Linked DNA regions of Saccharomyces cerevisiae S288C. The protein of the gene in region 1 interacts with the protein of each later gene in a pairwise test. Each region holds a gene or a part of one and is shown in the gene's direction. Other genes may lie near its edges.

Region 1 (7,676 bases):
GTATGATAAACAGACAGTGGTATCAGTACTATAGACACCAGTTAAGACGTTGGCACTGTCTTCAAATCTTGGCTAGAAATTTTGGAGGGTATCAGTCAATTGCTGTCTGCGCATCCCAATAAACAGTTGTCTAGGAAAGAACAACGGTTTTAATTGACACAACATGCTGAAGAATATAGGAAAAGGAGTAGCGGCAACGGATGAGCTAGCAAGAAAAGCATCACTCTCTATCTGAAAGCTTCCATGATTTATCTTTCAACCCAGCAAGGTAGTGTTTTTCCAATATAAGAAGCATACGGGGTTATAGAAGCTAATCGTGCCCAGCATGAGTCCTAACAAACAGAACAGACTCTTTATCCATCCGAATTCTAGTAAGTAATTATTCTGTTCACTTCTATCCAACGAAATGGGCGTACGATTGAAATAACAGTTGATTGAAATTATAGGGGCCCTATTCGCCTTCTACAAAGCACAAGGAAAGGAACATTTACAATGAATAATACGAAACAGCTGGCAAATGTGCTGAAAACCATTGAGCGATGTTACCACGCTGAGATCCATGTTTTCAAGAGTGGGCTGTACTATAATGAACCAATGTGTTCTTTAAAATTGTTAGTGTGTTTTCCCAACATGAAATTGCTACTGGAAGAAATTGATATTGTAATAATATATGTGAGTATCTAATCACACACTGGCTGCATCACATTGATTCATGTTATGTTTTTGAAATTAATGTATTCGTTGTGCATGGATGTTACACATATCCTAAACCTAAATTATGAGTACAAACACACCTAGGTAGAGAGCTCTACGTCGTCTTAGTTCTCAGCTTGTAAGCTTTAATTTACGCGAAAAGCTATTTACAATTTTTTATTTGAAAATTGATCGCATAACTTAATGAAAGTGTACAAAGTAGGATAGGCATTCTTTGGTACCGATTTTCTGAATTGTCACCAGCAAAGCCTCATTTATTTGAAATCATGAAACTTGTTAACGATTAAATCTAGCATGGCGATACTCGGAAAGTCCATAAAGAACTTCTGGCAAGAGCCGAAATTCACGGTAATTTTAATTGAGCACCACTATAGCAGTGTCTTTATTGAGTTGGCTAACACTAAGGTCGTATTCAGTACTTCTGAATTTCCAGATAATATAATAGACGCTCATACTAAGAAAATATTCACTATAAGAACCTTTCACAAATACTAACCTAGAATATTTATCTTTCTATTTGAGTAAGAATGGAAAATAAAAAAGTGTTAATAAGGTATAACAGAGTGTATTTTCAACCGTAAAGAAATGAATAAGAATAAACGCGATTTAAGCTTAATAGAAAGTACATAAGCAACGTCGCGAACCGGTAATGGAAAAAATAATTGTTTTATCGCTTTTCTTCAGAGGGTTTTTGTAATCGATATTTGGGTGGAAAATTCTGGGGCCCTACGAAATGACGAACTAAAAGCCAAGAGTTCTAAAACCCTTCAGTGTAGTGCTTTTTGAAAAGCCAGTTTTGTTATGAGCAACAAATACATGTGAGCTTAGAAAGATAGATTGAGCTTACCTGAATCAATGTGAATCGAAAATTTCCTCCGTCCTACAAGTATATATTGGAGGAAGATAAAACCAAGATTGATGCACTGCGTTTTGTAAATAGGTTCTGGGATTACCAACGTACTTCTTGATAAAATGGGCTATTTTTAAACGCTTTACTTTTTTTCTTCAGCGGAACCCGGTGGTTTTTATGATCTTTATACTTAATTGATGATTACAGTTTTGGAATCAAAAGCTTTATTCGGAATATTGTGCAAATATATTGTTGTTTTTATTGGATAATGGTGTCTAGATTTAACCAAGATATTAGATTTATTTCGCTTATAGCATCATTTTTTTTTTGATCAAAATTTTCAACTCTTTGAAAGTGCCATATTTCACAAAATATAACATTTGTCCCACGATTTAGAAAAATACCATAATCACTCTTCAACAATTTTATTTCTTTACTCTCCTACTACAGTTGCGTACATTTTAACTACACGTTTAAAATATTCAAGATTTATGAGACTGTCATCGAATGGTATATAAAATAAAAAAAAATTATATCTTAGAGTCCTAGTTTAATAGAAAGAATAAAAAAGGTCACGGAACATCACTTTCTAACATATCTTCCTGGGTTTCATCTTTACTAGAACTGACGGTCAAAGGTCTTTGGAGAGTACTCGCTTTTTTGATGAAAATCACGATAGTTAATTTTTCCGCCATGTTGTAACTTTCTCAAAACTGCAATTTCAGGGTGTCCAATTTACTGTCAATATGCAACCAAAAATATAACAAAGTCCTTTTGAGCAAATAAAGTCGGACATGACAGTACAACGCATGATCGATTATTAAACGAAAATGGGATATCATACTGTTTTAGAAGTTATTGGGTGCATTACTCTGTCATAAAAAAATCATGTTACTATCTATAAAAAATGCCTAAAAAATTGGATTACCACTTGTTATGGAAAGATCAGTAAAATATAGGATAACCATAGCGTAAGTCTGGCGTTCTGGAATATTTGTTTTTTAGTTATTAAACATACTTTTCACGATTCACAGTATTAATTTTTAGGAATGATAAAAAATGGTACATGCCCCTATTGGGAACGTGATGATCTTTCGGAATGTGCTAGGCGAGAATATATCGAGTTTAAATTTCCTCTATTTATATTGTTGACTGGTATGATATACGCGTTTTGCAAAGTCTTTCGAGCCTTTTATCTAAGGGGGAAAAATCATACAAATGAAGCGCCAGAATTTGAAGAACAAGGTAATGGAAACCACGAATATGCAAGGTTCTCAGTTTTAAGACTAAAATCTGCATGGGAAAGCCGTAGCTTTTGTAATGTTAATAATAGATCTACTTTCGACAAATTCAAAAAATTTATAGAGGGTGCCTTCATTGTTTTGCAGCTTACTATCCACCTGTATATTTTATCTAGTATGCCAATGGATAACAAAAAGTTCTTTCACCAAGGTTTTCTGGTTCAAATGTTTCTCTGGATTTTACTGCTTGTTGTTATTACACTTCGTTTAATTTCAGCAAGCCAGTCATTTCGGTGGGTTTTAGCATGTAAGCGTGATTTATGGGCTGTTTCGTTTTACTCATATGCATCCCTGTTTACTCTTTCGATTTTACCTCTTCGTTCCGTCTTCATTGGAAAGATAAAAGATAAAATTATGGTCAAATATATCATTTCCGAGACTTTCATTGATTTAGCGCTTTTATTATTATTATCAACGTCAAGTATAGAAGGAACTAGGTACTCATTTTTGGTTGAAAATGAGAACAAAAAGTTGCCACCGGCTCCTACCGTCTTTGGCCTTCTTACTTTTTCTAGGATTGATCGGCTTATTTGGAAAGCATACAAACACTGCCTTGGAAACGCTGATATTTGGGATTTGGATATTAATAATAAGTCTATAGCAATTTTGGCGAACTTTGAAATGTCTTCTAAAAAAGGAAGGCTCCTTCCAAACATTATTTGTTATTTTAAGGCTGTTTTCATCTCCCAATTATTTCTGGCTTTTGTATCTAGTTTTTTGAACTTTGTACCCTCATTGTTGATGCCAAGAATACTATCATACGTTAATGACCCAAAGTCAAAATCATGGAACTTGGTGTCTTTATACGTCTCATCTATGCTCGTCAGTAAAATCATTGCCACGACTTGTAGAGGTCAAGGATTGTTTTTAGGTGAAAAGGGTACTATGCAACTAAGAACAGTTTTGATATCCAATATCTATTCCAAAACCTTAAGAAGAACAATTCTAAAAGACTCAACAACGTCACTTCAAAAAAATGCGTCAACATCCTTTGAAGAAAATCCTGACTCTTCTGAAGCGGAACCTAGAAAAAAGTCTAGTAGGAAAGACAACTCTGTGAACAATGTTATGTCAATTGACGCTTTCAAGGTTTCTGAAGCTATGAACACTTTTTATCTGGCATGTGAAGCAGTTTTCATGACAGTTACGGCCCTAATGATACTATATTCCCTACTGGGATGGTCCGCCTTTGCTGGTACCTTTGCTCTTCTTGCCATGATTCCTTTGAATTTTTGGTGTGCAACTTTTTACGGGAACTATCAGGCCGATCAATTAATCCTAACTGACAAGCGTACCTCTGGGATTAGTGAGGCTCTGAACTCAATACGTGTAATAAAGCTACTGGCATGGGAAAATCTGTTTTATCAAAAGATTATAAACGTAAGAGATGGGGAAATAAGACTCCTTAAAAAGAAGGCAACAATTTTCTTTTTGAACCATCTCATTTGGTTCTTTGGGCCCACTTTGGTCTCTGCAATAACATTCTCAGTGTTTATTAAATTCCAAAATCAGACACTTACTCCTACAATAGCATTTACAGCTCTTTCTTTATTTGCAATATTGAGGACACCCATGGACCAAATTGCTTCGACTGTCAGCCTTTTGATACAGTCTTTTATTTCTCTTGAAAGAATCCAGGATTATCTTAATGAATCAGAAACAAGAAAATATGAGATTTTGGAACAAAGCAATACTAAATTTGGCTTTGAAGATGCAAGCATGGAATGGGAAGCTGCTGAAACAAGTTTTAAACTTAAGAACATTTCTATTGATTTTAAGCTGAATAGTCTCAACGCAATTATAGGTCCGACTGGGTCAGGAAAGTCTTCGCTATTACTTGGACTATTGGGAGAATTGAACCTTCTTTCTGGAAAAATATACGTACCTACAGTTGAATCCCGCGACGACTTAGAGATTGGTAAAGACGGAATGACGAATTCAATGGCATATTGTTCTCAAACTCCGTGGTTGATTAGTGGAACAATTAAAGATAACGTTGTTTTTGGAGAAATCTTCAACAAACAAAAATTTGATGATGTAATGAAATCCTGTTGTCTTGACAAAGATATCAAAGCAATGACAGCTGGCATAAGAACAGACGTGGGTGATGGAGGATTTTCCTTATCTGGCGGACAGCAGCAAAGGATTGCTTTAGCCAGAGCAATTTACTCCTCTTCCAGGTATTTGATCCTTGATGATTGCTTGAGTGCAGTAGATCCTGAAACTGCACTTTATATATATGAAGAGTGTTTATGCGGCCCCATGATGAAAGGAAGGACCTGCATCATTACGAGTCATAATATTTCTTTAGTTACGAAACGGGCTGACTGGCTTGTGATTTTAGATCGTGGCGAGGTGAAATCACAGGGTAAACCATCGGACCTCATTAAATCTAATGAGTTTTTGAGGGAAAGCATAAACAATGATTCAAAAAATACAACTCACAATCAAATTGACTTGAAAAGATCAACAACATCAAAGAAAACTAAGAATGGAGATCCCGAGGGAGGGAACTCGCAAGACGAAGTGTGTGCTGAAGTTGAAAATTTTGAGGAAACAAAAATGGAAGGATCAGTTAAATTTTCAGCTTACAAATGGTTAGCAGACTATTTCGGGGGACTGGGAGTTGTTTTTGTTTTCACCTCGTCCTCCATCCTTATTCATGGAATCACACTGTCTCAGGGCTTTTGGCTCAGATACTGGCTGGACACTGGATCTTCAGGGAGTAAGTCTACCTGGCTTTATAGAATAGTTGAGGGTCACTCTAACATCTATTTCTTACTGACTTATATTATCATAGGTCTTGTTTCTTCATTTTTAACTTCTGGTAAAGTTTGGATAGCAATAATTTCAGGTACCAACGTCACCAAGAAAATATTTGCGAAGCTTCTATCCAGTATCTTATATGCCAAGTTACGTTTTCATAATGTCACGCCGACTGGAAGAATAATGAACAGATTTAGCAAGGATATGGATATTATTGATCAACAATTGATCCCTAATTTCGAAGGACTCTCTTATAGCGTCGTTGTTTGTCTGTGGATTATACTTTTAATTGGATATGTTACTCCTCAATTTCTGTTATTTGCTATTCCTTTATGCGCTCTTTATTATACCGTATGTACGTTATATCTTCGTGCATCTAGAGAGTTGAAGAGAATAGATAACATCAATATCTCTCCAATACACCAGTTATTCGCTGAAGCCATCAAAGGAGTAACTACAATTAGAGCATTAGCAGATGAGCGTAGGTTTATCACTCAATCTTTGGTTGCAATTGACAGAAGTAATGCTCCATTTTTTTATCTCAATATGGCCACCGAGTGGATCACATATAGAGTGGATATAATTGGGACACTTGTTCTTTTTAGTTCTTCTGTAATGATCATAATGAAGGCCTCATAGTTGGATGCGGGGCTAGCGGGGATACTGTTATCGAATGCCTTTTCCTTTACTGAAACTGCTCAATGGATCATAAAAGTATTTTCAAGCGTTGAACTTTTGATGAGTTCAGTAGAGAGAATAAAAGAATATACAGATATACCTTCCGAATCAAACGGCTACATATCACCTCCAGCTAATTGGCCTCAAACAGGAGATGTTGAACTAAAAAACTTATCATTGCGCTATTCTCCTCATTCCTCTAAGGCACTAGATAATGTATCATTCAAGGTAAAAGCAGGAACAAAAGTTGGTATTGTTGGTAGAACAGGGGCTGGGAAATCTTCTATTATAGCGGCTATTTACCGGCTTTCAGACTGGGAAAACGGTACGATTACTATTGATAACAAAGACATAAAACATATCCCTTTAGAGCGTTTAAGAAATTCTATAAGCTGCATCCCACAGGATCCTACTTTATTTGATGGAACTGTTCGATCTAATTTAGATCCTTTCGATCGGTATTCTGATGTACAAATTTATGGCGTACTATCCAAAGTGGGATTAATTGAAGAATGCGATGAATTGTGCTTGATTTTTGAGCAAGAGCAGCCTAATTTTTCTAGTCATAAACTAAGAAATAGATTCATTGATTTGAATACTGTTGTGAAATCAGGTGGTTCAAACTTATCTCAAGGGCAAAGACAACTTTTGTGCTTGGCACGATCCATGCTTGGTGCACGTAATATAATGCTAATTGACGAAGCAACCGCCTCAATAGATTATATTTCTGATGCTAAAATTCAGAAAACTATAAGAGAAACAATGAAAAATACAACAATTTTGACTATTGCTCATCGATTAAGGTCAGTAATAGATTATGACAAAATTCTGGTGATGGAAATGGGCAGAGTCAAGGAGTATGATCATCCATACACTCTAATATCTGATCGAAATACCATTTTTTACCGCCTCTGTAGGCAGAGTGGCGAGTTCGAAAACCTTTTCGAGTTGGCTAAAGTCTCATTCGATAATAAAAGATAAGACAACTAGAATTTCCTATTTTTATTCATTCCAGTTCTAGCTACGAAGTATACGATCTGCTTACGTCATATATTTGTGTGTAATTAGAAGGCATTCAGGAAGTCGCTTTTAACTTTTCAGGGCTATATGTCCTAATCCACTACTTTTTTTGAGAACTTTAAGAAATAACTCCTTTGAACCTGTCTGTGCCAAACAAAATTTTGCTGGTACATTTTATGGTATATAAACAAGCTACGTTATTATTACTTTTTTTTGATAGTTTTACTTATACTAGAAAATAATATTATATCATCACAAAAGAAACTCTCTCGTTAAGAATCCCGAATATTCAGCAGGAGCAAAAAAAAAATACCATAATTTAAATGCTTATTCAGTACTTAGCTGCT
Region 2 (5,296 bases), on another chromosome or scaffold:
CTTTTCCTATCCATTGCACCAGTTCTGAATTTTACCACTTTGATTAGACCAGACTTTTCGTCTTCGTAGAATGACCGCACTTCCGTGGGGATCGATTCAAATAAAGTTATTGAGGGACAATGTACCAAGTCGTTTTTGTTATTTAGAGCCGACTCAAACTCGTCAAAGTTTGCTTTTTCAAACTTACGCCTATCGGAAACTTTCATTTTATTTTTGTAAGTTTCGAAATTAACAATAGTATGTTGATTGTTATGCTTTTTGACAAGAAATCCATCAATATAAACAAAAGATTGTCCAGTTTCCGTCTTATCATCATCTAAGAATGTAATAATTAAGCTATTGAGAAGATGCAGAATCTGCGCTATGCAGGTGCAAATCTCTAGCAGCAGCAAAGTAAATTCAGTTAGTAAGAAATCTCACTAAGATAAGCGACTGTCTGTCCCCTTCAAGCACAACATAGAAAGCAGAAGGATGTCTCATTCATCGCTTGATTTCCGGCCTGCAAAAATAAAGTAGTCGGTACGTACGTTCGTTTTCAATTTCCATGGTGCACAGTATCTTAACTATCTGCTTAGTCGAGGAGAACCAGGATTCTGTTCGTTGCTCAGCCGCTTCGTGGATATTCTCTTGGATACTTTAAATATGGACCTACGCTTAGCCTGCGCTTAGCCTACAACTTCTTCCGCTCTCGAAAAGACCAATATAATAGAAAGTTATAAATTACATTTCCTTATTAGGTATACGACCTCGCGCTTCGAAGTAGAGGAGCCCTTTTTGGCGTACCTACATATGGCGCGTCAGACAGACAAACTTCCCCCAAAAATGTATTACCCCGCCGAATAAGAAAACAGACCCATTCACCCACGACGTATCAAGTTACTTCCTTGGTGCAATGTCCCACTATAAAAAAATTCCTTGACGCTAGATCGTTGGACTAAAATCTGCGTCACAATCGCCTAAACAGGAAATATTGCCTATTTTCGTACAAGGTTACTTCCTAGATGCTATATGTCCCTACGGCCTTGTCTAACACCATCCAGCATGCAATACAGTGACATATATATACCCACACCCACACCCACACACCACACCCACACACCCACACCACACCCACACCCACACACCCACACCCACACCCATCACAACCCTAACCCTACCCTATTCTAACCCTGATGAACGTGTCTCTCAACTTACCCTCCATTACCCTACCTCCCCACTCGTTACCCTGCCCCACTCAACCATACCACTCCCAACCACCATCCATCACTCTACTTACTACTACCATCCACCGCCCATCATAACCGTTACCCTCCAATTACCCAAATCCAACTCTACTACCATTACCCTACCATCGACCATCTGCTACTCACTATACTGTTGTTCTACCCTCCATATTGAAACGTTAACAAATAATCGTAAATAATACACATATACTTACCCTACCACTCTAATCCCACTACCACATGCCATACTCACCTTCACTTGTATTCTGATCGGTCATACGTACACGGATGCTACAGTATATACCATCTCAACTTACCCTGCCATAACATTCCACTCCACTCCATGGCCCATCTCTCACTAAATCAGTACCAAATGCACCCACATCATTATGCACGGCACTTGCCTCAGCGGTCTATACCCTGTGCCATTTACCCATAACTCCCACGATTATCCACATTTTAATATCTATATCTCATTCGGCGGCCCCAAATATTGTATAACTGCTCTTAATACATACGTTACACCACTTTTACACCGTATACTAACCACTCAATTTATATACACTTATGCCAATATTACAAAAAAATCACCACTAAAATCACCTAAACATAAAAATATTCTATTCTTCAACCATAATACATAAACACACTCAATTGCGTATCAATACCACCATGACGTCATTAACTTAAATGTTCCTTAATACGTCATACCACTATGCTCTATTCCATATATTGTAATATAACTGTACTCTATAGTCATACAGACGCTTTTACTTCACCCCATCTTCTCATACTATTGTCATAGAATCTCACACTGACGCATGATTAAAACGAATAATTTTTACTGTAAGGGCTGCCATCCGCGCTCTATCCTTTTGTTTGCAATATTTATATACAGAATCTCAAAACAAGCGGGAGAAGTGCTAATTACCCAGAGGTCATGCATAATCTGAGTACCACCGTACCTCTAGGTTTTGCTTTGATCCGTTTTACAGTGACACCGAACATAAGGGGAAGCTATTGACATGGTATCGAAAGGTTGTCCACATTGGGAAGTAACTTGGTTCTATGAATCTTCATGTCAGATACGTAGGACAGACTCTTCCTGTGTAAATATTTGTGACAGCTACGTCTATTTTCTACTAGATGTTTACACAGTTTTGTCACAGGAAATCTACGCTTAAAATATGTATTTCATTCAAGCGGTAACCGCTGTACGAGCAGTGACATTGCTGGTCGCACCTTAAATGTAAACCAACGTTACGGCACACCGTGATGTACCCGCATTAAAGTTTTGTAAATTCGTTATTACGATTATCGAGTTGGCTAGATAGAAAACCGGAAATGAAATGGATGCCCTTTTCGAATAGCTGAGTTTCTTTGCCTAAAATAGCCCAATATTGTTTCCCTTTTTCTATCACGAGGTTACTGAGCCATTGCATGAACGCGCGCGCCTCGGCGGCTTTTTTTTTCTGCTGTGCTGTATAAAAGCGAAAAGCCAGAAGTTACTATCTCGAATAAAAAACCCCTCGAACTGCCATCTCACTACCGAAAATGAAAGAGAATGAACTTAAAAATGAGAAGAGTGTAGATGTATTATCCTTCAAACAGCTCGAATCCCAAAAGATTGTTCTACCTCAAGATCTTTTCAGAAGCAGCTTTACCTGGTTTTGTTATGAAATTTACAAGTCCTTAGCGTTTCGCATCTGGATGCTATTATGGCTACCACTTAGCGTCTGGTGGAAACTTTCCAACAATTGTATTTACCCACTTATAGTTTCACTTCTGGTCCTGTTTCTGGGACCAATATTTGTCCTTGTTATTTGTGGACTTTCTCGTAAGCGTTCCTTATCGAAACAACTCATTCAGTTTTGCAAAGAGGTTACTGAAAACACACCAAGTTCTGATCCTCATGATTGGGAAGTTGTTGCAGCAAATCTAAATTCGTACTTATATGAAAATAAGGCTTGGAATACTAAGTACTTTTTCTTCAATGCCATGGTCTGTCAAGAAGCGTTCAGAACAACCCTTCTCGAACCATTTTCTTTGAAAAAAGACGAAGCTGCCAAGGTTAAGTCATTTAAGGATTCCGTCCCTTACATTGAAGAAGCATTGGGAGTTTATTTTAGAGAAGTTGAAAAACAATGGAAGTTGTTTAATTCTGAGAAATCATGGAGCCCTGTTGGCCTGGAAGATGCTAAACTTCCCAAAGAAGCTTACCGATTTAAGCTTACTTGGTTTTTAAAGAGGATTTCCAATATTTTTATGTTGATACCATTCCTTAATTTTTTGTGCTGCATATATGTGTCACGGGGAATGTGCCTTCTATTACGCACCTTTTATCTCGGGTGGATTCTTTTCATGTTGGTACAAGGTTTCCAAAACATGAGGATGATCGTTTTATCCGTGAAAATGGAACACAAGATGCAGTTCTTGTCGACTATTATAAATGAGCAAGAAAGTGGTGCGAATGGATGGGACGAAATTGCAAAAAAAATGAATAGGTACTTGTTTGAGAAAAAAGTCTGGAAGAATGAAGAGTTTTTCTTTGACGGGATTGACTGTGAATGGTTTTTTAGCCACTTCTTCTACCGCGTTCTCTCTGCAAAGAAATCTATGCGGGCTCTATCATTGAATGTGGAACTATGGCCATATATTAAAGAAGCGCAATTATCCTGCAGTGAGGAGTCCTTAGCGTAAAGATAAATACAACTTTTTCAATTTATATATTTTGTAGTTTGTCAGCTGCGAATAACCAAAACGAGACTACTTTTTACCATTACAACCATTTTCTTTTTCCCTATTTCTCACTGGTTGACAGAAATCAGTGTGCTATCATCCTACCATATGCGCTAAACTTATTGTCTTTCTCCTCCTAGAGATGCTGTATTCCATGCATATTCTGAACGATGGGTTGGTGTTTTTATCAAGCAAGGTTAATCACATGGCGTGGCTTGCTCCACACATCAGTAGAAAACGCATACCGCAGCGGAATCCTTAAATAATAAGTGATTTTACTGTTCATCAACTACAATCGGACTCTTTCACAATTACCCTTCTTGTTTTCCACATTTACTGTTAAATGAAGGGATGTACAGAAGGCTTAGGAAAACCTGTGCTGAATACTGGATGGACACTGCATTCCCACAGTGAAACTTTTATAGATACACTGTCAGTTATTTTCGAACTTTCATCAAGTTGCTGAGTTTTAGTATCCCTTTGCCTTAGCTATATGTTTGAATGAGCAAAATATTTGCAATGTCTCTAGCTTTCTTGAAATATTGGTTTATATTGAGGGCTTGGTAAGATTTCAAATTTCACTTTGAAATACTCAGGAGAAAAATCATGCTCTTTTGATAATTTGGTGACTAAACATACATAAAACAGTTTAATTTTGGGTGGTAATGGCTGTGTGACTAGCTATAGAAAGAAAAAAATTAAAAAAAAAAAAAAAAATCAAGTAGTTCCTGCACTGCGACGTCCATTATAGCATTATGAATTGGTCCCTGATTTACGCATGCGATAAACTATTTTTAGCGCAGCCGCATATTATCCGAGAATAACTTCCGACATAAGAAAATTCGCAGAAAATAGATAAAAAACTGCTCTTGGCATTCTTCACTTCCTCTATTACACACTGTGTCATACCACAATCATCTCACAGTATGTATTTGTATGTTTATACATGCTATAACGTAAAACAATGTAGAATATATATCTAAATACCTCACGGTTTTAGTTTAGTGCAGCCCACATACTACTTTTTTCCTTTTGTTTTTTTTTATATTTCAAAGGTTAAACTCGCTTAGACTATGTCTATAATATAAAAAAAAAAATAGCTCTATTCCGTTTCTTTTATTCTATTTGATATTTCCATCACACTTTCATCTTAATCACGGATGTATACTGATAATAGGGTTGACTGCGCCTGTACGGATTACAGTGCCCTCTTCAATTGGAAAATCCAAGCTTTCAAGATGCGTAACTGTTATTCAAAGGATCCTCTAAGATAAAACACAGATCGGCAGATCCGAGAGTTGGCTTCTGTGCCTTGGGCTCAAATTCCTTTCCCA
Region 3 (4,947 bases), on another chromosome or scaffold:
GCGAGAAGAAGGACACTGATGGCGCTGATGAGAATGTACAAATTGGAGAAGATTTCATGGAAGTGGATTATGAAGATAAAGATAATCCAGTGGATTCACGAAATGAAACAGACCACAAAACGAATGAAAATGGCGAGACCGATGATAATATTGAAACGGTAATGACACAGGAACAGTTTGTTAAAAGAAGGAGGGATATGCTAGAGCATATAAATCTGGCCATGAACGAATCGTCTTTGGCTTTGGAATTCGTTTCTTTGCTACTGTCGAGTGTTAAAGAGTCTACAGGTATGTCATCAATGTCACCATTTCTTAGGAAAGTTGTTAAACCTTCTAGTTTAAACAGTGATAAAATTCCATATGTTGCACCTACAAAAAAAGAATATATCGAGTTGGATATATTGAATAAGGGATGGAAGTTACAAAGTTTAAACGAATCTAAAGATCTCCTACGCGCAAGTTTTAATAAACTGAGTTCCATATTACAGAACGAACATGACTATTGGAATAAGATAATGCAGAGTATTAGCAACAAGGATGTTATTTTTAAGATTAGGGACAGGACTAGTGGTCAAAAGCTGTTGGCAATTAAGTATGGTTACGAAGACTCTGGATCTACCTATAAGCATGACAGAGGTATTGCTAATATAAGGAATAATATAGAATCACAAAATTTGGATTTGATACCCCACAGTAGTTCAGTGTTCAAAGGCACTGATTTCGTACATTCAGTAAAGAAATTCTTAAGGGTTCGTATCTTCACAAAAATCGAATCAGAAGATGATTACATATTGAGTGGCGAAAGTGTGATGGATAGGGATAGTGAAAGTGAAGAAGCTGAAACGAAAGATATCAGAAAGCAAATCCAACTTTTGAAAAAGATCATTTTTGAAAAAGAACTGATGTACCAAATAAAGAAAGAATGCGCTTTGTTGATTTCCTATGGTGTCAGTATTGAAAACGAAAACAAGGTAATAATTGAACTACCTAACGAAAAATTTGAAATCGAGTTGTTGTCCCTTGACGATGACTCCATTGTCAATCATGAACAAGACTTACCAAAAATCAACGACAAGAGAGCAAATTTAATGCTTGTTATGTTGAGACTATTATTAGTCGTTATATTCAAGAAAACATTACGATCGAGAATAAGCTCACCCCACGGACTGATCAATTTGAATGTTGACGATGATATCTTAATAATACGTCCCATTCTTGGTAAAGTTCGGTTTGCTAATTACAAACTGTTACTAAAAAAAATCATAAAGGATTACGTGCTCGATATAGTTCCTGGCTCAAGTATAACAGAAACGGAAGTTGAGAGAGAACAACCTCAAGAAAATAAAAACATTGATGATGAAAATATAACTAAATTAAATAAAGAGATCCGTGCCTTCGATAAACTATTGAATATACCTAGACGTGAACTCAAAATAAATCTACCATTAACTGAGCACAAAAGCCCTAATCTAAGTTTAATGCTCGAAAGTCCTAACTATTGTAACGCACTCATTCACATCAAGTTTTCAGCTGGTACGGAAGCCAACGCAGTGTCCTTTGACACAACATTTTCTGATTTTAAAGAAGTAGAGGACTTCCTACATTTTATTGTCGCTGAGTACATCCAGCAAAAGAAGGTGTAATATCCTGAGTCACTCCTTAAACCTACATACATTGCCATAGAATGCCATTTATTACTATATAAAGTCGCATACGTACAAAAGGACAAGATCTTATCTTCGAAAACAAGAATATGAAGGATTTAATAACATTGCCAGGTTAAGAACGGTGTAACAACAATAGAAGTAACACAACACCAATAGCAAACAAACCAACTACAGATATGACTTACACATTGGCAATTTTAGGCTGCGGTGTTATGGGCCAAGCACTTCTTTCCGCCATTTATAATGCTCCAAAGGCGGCTGATGAAACTGCTGCTGCATTTTACCCTTCCAAAATTATCACATGTAACCATGATGAACCTAGTGCACAACAAGTTACCGATCTAGTTGAGACATTCGACGAATCTCCTAACGGTATTAAAGTCGAAAGCACTTACGGTCACAACGTGAGCGCTGTCGAAGAAGCTTCTGTAGTTCTTCTTGGTACCAAGCCATTTTTGGCCGAAGAAGTGTTGAATGGTGTGAAGAGCGTCATTGGGGGAAAGCTACTTATTTCCCTGGCTGCTGGCTGGACAATTGACCAATTGAGTCAATACACTAGCACTGTTTGCCGTGTTATGACGAACACACCTGCCAAGTACGGATATGGTTGTGCGGTGGTGTCCTACTCAGCTGATGTTTCCAAAGAGCAAAAGCCACTGGTCAACGAATTGATTAGCCAAGTTGGTAAATACGTTGAGCTTCCAGAAAAGAACATGGATGCTGCTACGGCTTTAGTCGGTTCAGGCCCCGCTTTTGTTCTCTTGATGTTAGAATCCTTGATGGAGAGTGGGTTGAAATTGGGAATCCCATTACAAGAGAGTAAGGAGTGTGCCATGAAAGTTCTAGAAGGAACAGTGAAGATGGTTGAGAAAAGCGGTGCTCATCCATCCGTTTTAAAGCATCAAGTTTGCACACCAGGTGGTACAACTATTGCCGGGTTGTGCGTAATGGAAGAAAAGGGCGTCAAGAGCGGTATTATCAATGGTGTTGAAGAGGCAGCCCGTGTTGCGTCACAATTAGGCCAAAAGAAGAAATAGATTGCTTTGCGTGAAATGTATGTATGTTCGCTTTGTAGCCGTATATTATTTTTTTATTACTGACCTTGCATTTTTTCGTCATTTTCCCGTCGGTCCGATAATGAATCATCACGATGAATGACTACCCCATAATAATGACACTAATTGGAGCGTATAAAAGAAAAAAATTATATAAATGTGTTTGTAATGAGTAAGAGCAATTGATTCATTTGAAATGAAAATCAAAAATCAAAATTAAAATAAAACTAAGCAACCATGTCAAGCGGCAGTACTATTGTTTCGTCTGACAAGTCGGGGCGAACATTTAAGCATGAGGAAGAACTACCCAAGTTACCATTACCTAAACTCTGTGACACTTTGCAGCGTCTGAAGGAGAGTTTAGAGCCATTGTATTATGCTGATGGTTACTATCAACATCCTTTAGATCCAGAACAAATTGAGAAGCTGTCATCCATAATAAGAGATTTTGAAGAGAATCCCGTAAGTGAGAAGCTGCAATCTAAACTACAGAGCTACCATGACACTAGGGATTGCTACCTTGATGAATTACACTTAGACATCAATAACCAGACCTCCACTAGGGAGATTCAGGACGATGTCCTACCCAGGAATCCCTTCTTGGTTCTCGCAGATGACGCTTTGCCAAACATCACTCAAGCTGATAGGTCAGCCGTCCTAGTGCACTCTGCGGCCAGGTTTATTTCTGCTTTGAAACAAGATTTGTTGCCACCAGATATCAATGCCACCAATGGCAAACCACTGTCAATGGCTCCATTTCTGAACTTGTTCGGTACTACTCGTAGTCCTGTTTTTCAGCGCGGTGAGGTTGAAAATTTTGATTTGAACAAACCTTACACAGCATCTGATTTAGAAGACCCTGATTATTCAAGCGATGAGGACGATAACGACGAACCCACCCAAAAAGACTTTGATGACCGTAAAAGAAAACACGAAGAAGACATATTCACTGGCAATGGTATAACTATAAAAAGACATCCGGATAGCAAACACATCTTGATCATCTCCAGGGGCCAATACTATACACTGGAAGTACTTGATTCGACGAATAAAATTATATACACTGCTGCAGAATTAACCACAATTTTCAACCATATAATAAAAGATTCTTCTGGCATTGAAAAATCAACTGCGTTAGGTAGTTTGACCTCTCACTCTTTTAGAAACTGGAAATATGCAAGGAAGAGACTACAGAAAAGGTATCCTAATGAATTACATCGCATAGACTCTGCTCTGTTCGTGTTAGTGCTGGACGAATCACAAGAAGAAACTACCAATGATGGCGATGATACCGCTGATATCAGTCAAATGTTTAACAGGACTATCACTGAGCGAGACAAGAAATGTACTTCCGCCAATTGTAAGAGAGTGTTTTACGGTACTTCTATAATAAATAGCAAAGGCCATCAAGTGGGTTCATGTGTTTCTCGTTGGTATGATAAATTACAGTTAGTTGTCACTGCAGATGCAAAAGCCACAGTGATTTGGGATTCCTTCACATGTGACGGGTCAGTCGTGCTTCGGTTTACTTCTGAAATTTATACAGAATCAGTCTTGAGATTAGCTAGAGACGTTAACGCCGGTGACCCACAGTTTTCACTCTGGCCTAACGTGACACAAATGGATCCTGAAACTAAAAAACTGATGACGGCGACCATAAGTGCCGACGGCGGAGGCCCTTCTGAAATTGACCCTAAGTTGGTTGTAAATAAAATCGATTGGTCTTTCAGTAACATCCTGAACACACATGTCCATTTGTCAGAAACCAAACTAGCTGATCTGATTTCCAAGTATGATATTGTTCGCGCTTCTATTCCATTGGGCAGAAGGTCAGCTCAAAGATTAGGAGTCAAGCCCGATTCGATGGTTCAAGTAGCTTTACAAATAGCTCACTATGCTTTGTATGGAAGAATGGTGTTTGGATTAGAACCAGTATCCACACGTGGTTTCAAAAACTCGAGATCATCTTTTATTAACATTCAAAGTCAAGCGCTGTTGGAACTATGTCAATTGTTTATTTCTAGCTCCATTGATGGGACAGATAAATTAGACAAATTTATCCAAACCTGCGAAACACATAATAACATGGTTAAACATGCAAAGTCTGGGGTAGGTTATGAAAAACACTTCAATGCATTGAAATATCTCTTCAAATTTCATGACCATTTTGGTATCCACTTAAGTGGTGATGAATCATCTGCTGCGAAAGATCTTTTCGAAAATCC
Region 4 (5,354 bases), on another chromosome or scaffold:
GTGCTATCAAGGGGAGATGAAATAACTCCGTCTTACCATAGCCCGGTGGGGCCTGTACTGCCACAGAGGGTGTGTCTGCCATGTATATTTCATGACATAAGCGCAACTGATGCAAGTCCCTGAATTCAAAGGAGCTGCCAAAGAGTTTCTGGCCTGCGACGAGGATATCGTTTGTACTCTTGGGCTCTCGGGGCCTTTTTCGCGTTACTCTTGAAATTTTTTGATCATGATCTGAACTCGCCGCCTCACCTGCCACTACGTCTTCCGCATTCCGAGTACTAGAGAATGAACAATGGTAGTCGCTTTCAAGGCCTAACCATTGAATCCAGCGCTCGGAAGTGAGTCCGTCAAGCGTCTTTAGTCGAGGCTCCGATGAACCGTTCTTGTTGTATCGTCGACGTATACGTTGCGCTGTAGCTCTGGATAACGGTAAGCGTATCACCGTAAGCTCGTCAATTATTTTTGAGAGCCGCGGTCATTTTGTTAGTATCTCTTCTCAACTTGGGCAGCACACATGCAAAACATCACCCAATCGGTCCTTTTTGTTCATCATATCGTTACATATCTGTGAAAAGTACTTTATCTCAGTGGGTTTACGTGGGCATAGATCACGCTTCAGCCGCTCTGTGTCGACTTTCTTTTCGCCAGGTAAACTTGCTTGGTATGCAGAAAAAATCGATAGCTCATCTACGTGTAGTAACAAAAACATGTGGGGTGCCAAATTGTACCCATATTTCCTTATGGTGCTTTTCTGAAGACTCCTTACAATAGGTGCGCCAGAAACAAAGTCAGTGAAAGTACGCATCGTAGAGCTGTCGTTCGGCCTGGCACTCGCTATTTCGTGACAACGTTCCAGGACACGGAAACTCAACTCATTATAGTATCCTCTGTTGAGGTAAAAAAGAGAAAGGGTATCGTAATCCTTTCTATTGAATTTCAAAGTATGCACTTGAAACAACGTGTAGACCATCAAGTTGATTTTCTTGGGAATAAGATACTTTGAAGGGATTGGTCCGCCCTGGAAATCTGGTTCGTCTTCAACAAACGTCAGGAACTTTTGTACATTTTTCCCGACCATGACGGAAACGACAATTTTTTCAAAAGACCTTTTCCTATCCATTGCACCAGTTCTGAATTTTACCACTTTGATTAGGCCAGACTTTTCGTCTTCGTAGAATGACCGCACTTCCGTGGGGATCGATTCAAATAAAGTTATTGAGGGACAATGTACCAAGTCGTTTTTGTTATTTAGAGCCGACTCAAACTCGTCAAAGTTTGCTTTTTCAAACTTACGCCTATCGGAAACTTTCATTTTATTTTTGTAAGTTTCGAAATTAACAATAGTATGTTGATTGTTATGCTTTTTGACAAGAAATCCATCAATATAAACAAAAGATTGTCCAGTTTCCGTCTTATCATCATCTAAGAATGTAATAATTAAGCTACTCTATTGAGAAGAAGCAGAATCTGCGCTATGCAGGTGCAAATCTCCAGCAGCAGCAAAGAAAATTCAGTTAATAAGAAATCTCACTAAGATAAGCGACTGTCTGTCCCAACATAGAAAACAGAAGGATGTCTCATTCATCGCTTGATTTCCGGCCTGCAAAAATAAAGCAGTCGGTACGTGCTTTCGTTTTCAATTTCCATGGTGCACAGTATCTTAACCGTCTGCTTAGTCGAGGAGAACCAGGATTCTGTTCGTTGCTCAGCCGCTTCGTGGATAAATTTTATTACCCCGCTGAGGTAGAGGAGCCCTTTTTGGCGTACCAAGTCACTTCCTAATGCTCCATGTCCCACCCACCATGTTGAAACGTTGACAAATGATCGTAAATAATACACACGTACTTACCCACACACACCACATGCCACACTCACTTGCACTTGTATACTGGTACGGCATACGCACACGGATGCTACAGTATATACCACTCTCAACTTACCCTACTTTCACATTCTACTCCACTCCATGACCCATCTCTCACTAAATCAGTACTAAATGCACCCACATCATTATGCACGGCACTTGCCTCAGCGGTCTATACCCTGTGCCATTTACCCATAACGCCCACGATTATCCACATTTTAATATCTATATCTCATTCGGCGGCCCCAAATATTGTATAACTGCTCTTAATACATACGTTATACCTCTTTTTCACCGTATACTAACCACTCAATTTATATACACTTATGCCAATATTACAAAAAAATCACCACTAAAATCACCTAAACATAAAAATATTCTATCCTTCAACCATAGTACATAAACACACTCAATTGCGTATCAATACCACCATGACGTCATTAACTTAAATGTTCCTTAATACCGTCATACCACTATGCTCTATTCCATATATTGTAATATAACTGTACTCTATAGTCATACAGACGCTTTTACTTCACCCTATCTTCTCATACTATTGTCATAGAATCTCACACTGACGCATGATTAAAACGAATAATTTTTACTATAAGGCCTCCCATCCGTGCTCTACCCTTTTGTTTGCAATATTTATACAGAATCTCAAAGCAAGCGGGAGAAGTGGTGATTACCCAGATGTCATGCATGATCTGAGCACCACCGTACCTCTAGGTTTTGCCTTGATCAATTTTACAGTGACACCAAGCATAAGGATAAAAAATGGTATTGAAAGGTTGTCCACATTTGTAAGTAACTTGGTTCTATGAATCTTCATGTCAGATACGTAGGACGGACTCTTTCCTGTGTAAATATTTGTGACAGCTACGTCTATTTTCTACTAGATGTTTACACAGTTTTGTCACAGGAAATCTACGCTTAAAATATGTATTTCATTCAAGCGGTAACCGCTGTACGAGCAGTGACATTGCTGGTCGCACCTTAAATGTAAACCAAAGTTACGGCACACCGTGATGCACCCGCATTAAAGTTTTGTAAATTCGTTATTACGATTATCGAGTTGGCTAGATAGAAAACCGGAAATGAAATGGATGCCCTTTTCGAATAGCTGAGTTTCTTTGCCTAAAATAGCCCAATATTGTTTCCCTTTTTCTATCACGAGGTTACTGAGCCATTGCATGAACGCGCGCGCCTCGGCGGCTTTTTTTTTCTGCTGTGCTGTATAAAAGCGAAAAGTCAGAAGTTACTATTTCGAATAAAAAACCCCTCGAACTGCCATCTCACTACCGAAAATGAAAGAGAATGAAGTCAAAGATGAGAAAAGCGTAGATGTGTTATCCTTCAAACAGCTCGAATTCCAAAAGACCGTTCTACCTCAAGATGTTTTCCGAAACGAATTGACCTGGTTTTGTTATGAAATTTACAAGTCTTTAGCGTTTCGCATCTGGATGCTGTTATGGCTACCACTTAGCGTCTGGTGGAAACTTTCCAGCAATTGGATTCACCCACTTATAGTTTCACTTCTTGTCCTGTTCCTGGGACCATTTTTTGTCCTTGTTATTTGTGGACTTTCTCGTAAGCGTTCCTTATCGAAACAACTCATTCAGTTTTGCAAAGAGATTACTGAAGACACACCAAGTTCGGATCCTCATGATTGGGAAGTCGTTGCAGCAAATCTAAATTCGTACTTCTATGAAAATAAGACTTGGAATACCAAGTACTTTTTTTTCAATGCCATGAGCTGCCAAAAAGCGTTTAAAACAACCCTTCTCGAACCCTTCTCTTTAAAAAAAGACGAATCTGCAAAGGTTAAGTCATTTAAGGATTCCGTTCCTTATATCGAAGAGGCCTTGCAAGTGTATGCTGCAGGATTTGACAAAGAGTGGAAGCTGTTTAATACTGAGAAGGAAGAGAGTCCTTTCGACCTGGAAGACATTCAGCTCCCCAAAGAAGCTTACCGATTTAAGCTTACCTGGATTCTTAAAAGGATTTTCAACCTGCGGTGTTTACCACTCTTCCTTTATTATTTTTTAATTGTCTACACGTCTGGAAATGCTGACCTTATATCACGTTTCTTGTTTCCGGTAGTAATGTTTTTTATCATGACGAGAGATTTCCAAAATATGAGGATGATTGTTTTATCCGTGAAAATGGAACACAAGATGCAGTTCTTGTCAACTATTATAAATGAGCAAGAAAGTGGTGCGAATGGATGGGACGAAATTGCAAAGAAAATGAATAGGTATTTGTTTGAGAAAAAAGTCTGGAATAATGAAGAGTTTTTCTACGATGGACTTGACTGCGAATGGTTTTTTAGGCGCTTTTTCTATCGTCTCTTATCTTTAAAAAAACCTATGTGGTTTGCTTCGTTGAACGTTGAGCTATGGCCATACATTAAAGAAGCGCAATCGGCCCGCAATGAGAAGCCCCTAAAGTAGGAACAAATGTTCCTTTTCCAAAATATACTATGTGTAGTTGATCGAATATCAGTAAGTCAAAACGTATTTTACTTGTTTATTATTATTAATACTCCTTTTCGCATATGTTTTATCACTTTACACCATACAATAACCACTAAATTCAAAAACACTTATTTTCAATATTTGTTATAGAAAAATAACCACTAAAATCACCTAAATATAAAAATATTCTACCCTTTAGCAATAAGACTGAAACACTTTACTTGGGGTAAGAATACTGCCATGGTGTCATTAACATGAAAGTTCAATAATGTTTTCATACTAATCAATATGTACACAGGCTTCACATTAGAACATCATATATTAAAGCGGTAACTTAAAATCCAGATAATACATTTTTGGTCATATAAGTGCTTTTTTTTTGTAGGATATAATCGCAAATGATATCACTACACTATGACATATTGTTGACGTAGTAAATTACGATTTAGCTTATATGTCATAATGTAGTAAGTTTATATATGTTATGTAAATGTAAGAATTACATAGGTACTGTTTTTGTACACAGAAGCTATAATTTCTCAAGTACTACCGGATTAGAGGTTTGCTACAATACGTTTTCCACTATATGTTTTCTATGTGTGAAACATTACTGAAACATTACTCATATTACGCTTTTGTGTTATCACATTAAACATATACATGGTAACAAATATTACTATCACTTATCTTGCTTCATCTTATGTACCATACAAAAATTACTGCGCATATCAGAGATCATTTTTTCGAACACATATCCTGTTGGGGTTTTGTAAATCTTTCTTATGACCTGCCTAAGGCCTTTGCAAAACGTTTCGCGATCCAGTCATTGATAGGATCATCTTCCTTGGTTTGGACATATTCTCTGTCAGGTAACTTTTGGGCAAAATCTTCAGTCAACCGAGGATCTCTTACGCAGAATGTTAGAAGGAACATAGGCGCTGAAAATACAAGCGCAACAATAACTTCGTATTTTTGAACGTGTCTGTAAGCTTCAACCATCGCAGACCTAACTG

The links.
Region 2: the proteins of NFT1 (region 1) and COS1 interact in a protein complementation assay, tested with the Saccharomyces cerevisiae proteins (one large-scale study listed by BioGRID).
Region 3: the proteins of NFT1 (region 1) and PRO3 interact in a protein complementation assay, tested with the Saccharomyces cerevisiae proteins (one large-scale study listed by BioGRID).
Region 4: the proteins of NFT1 (region 1) and COS8 interact in a protein complementation assay, tested with the Saccharomyces cerevisiae proteins (one large-scale study listed by BioGRID).

The regions. Positions count from the first base shown.
Region 1 is NC_001143.9:650,467-658,142, forward strand, and holds NFT1 (putative multidrug transporter NFT1), read left to right. Parts: upstream 1-2,613; coding exon 2,614-6,270; downstream 6,271-7,676. Other genes in the region: YKR104W (uncharacterized protein), read left to right, coding at 6,370-7,290.
Region 2 is NC_001146.8:5,553-10,848, forward strand, and holds COS1 (Cos1p), read left to right. Parts: upstream 1-2,777; coding exon 2,778-3,923; downstream 3,924-5,296. Other genes in the region: YRF1-6 (Y' element ATP-dependent helicase protein 1 copy 6), read right to left, coding at 1-379, 528-546.
Region 3 is NC_001137.3:199,233-204,179, forward strand, and holds PRO3 (pyrroline-5-carboxylate reductase), read left to right. Parts: upstream 1-1,843; coding exon 1,844-2,704; downstream 2,705-4,947. Other genes in the region: SRB4 (Srb4p), read left to right, coding at 1-1,643; carnitine O-acetyltransferase YAT2, read left to right, coding at 2,960-4,947.
Region 4 is NC_001140.6:3,230-8,583, forward strand, and holds COS8 (Cos8p), read left to right. Parts: upstream 1-3,171; coding exon 3,172-4,317; downstream 4,318-5,354. Other genes in the region: YHL050C (uncharacterized protein), read right to left, coding at 1-82; YHL049C (uncharacterized protein), read right to left, coding at 497-1,312; YHL048C-A (uncharacterized protein), read right to left, coding at 2,434-2,568; ARN2 (siderophore transporter), read right to left, coding at 5,122-5,354.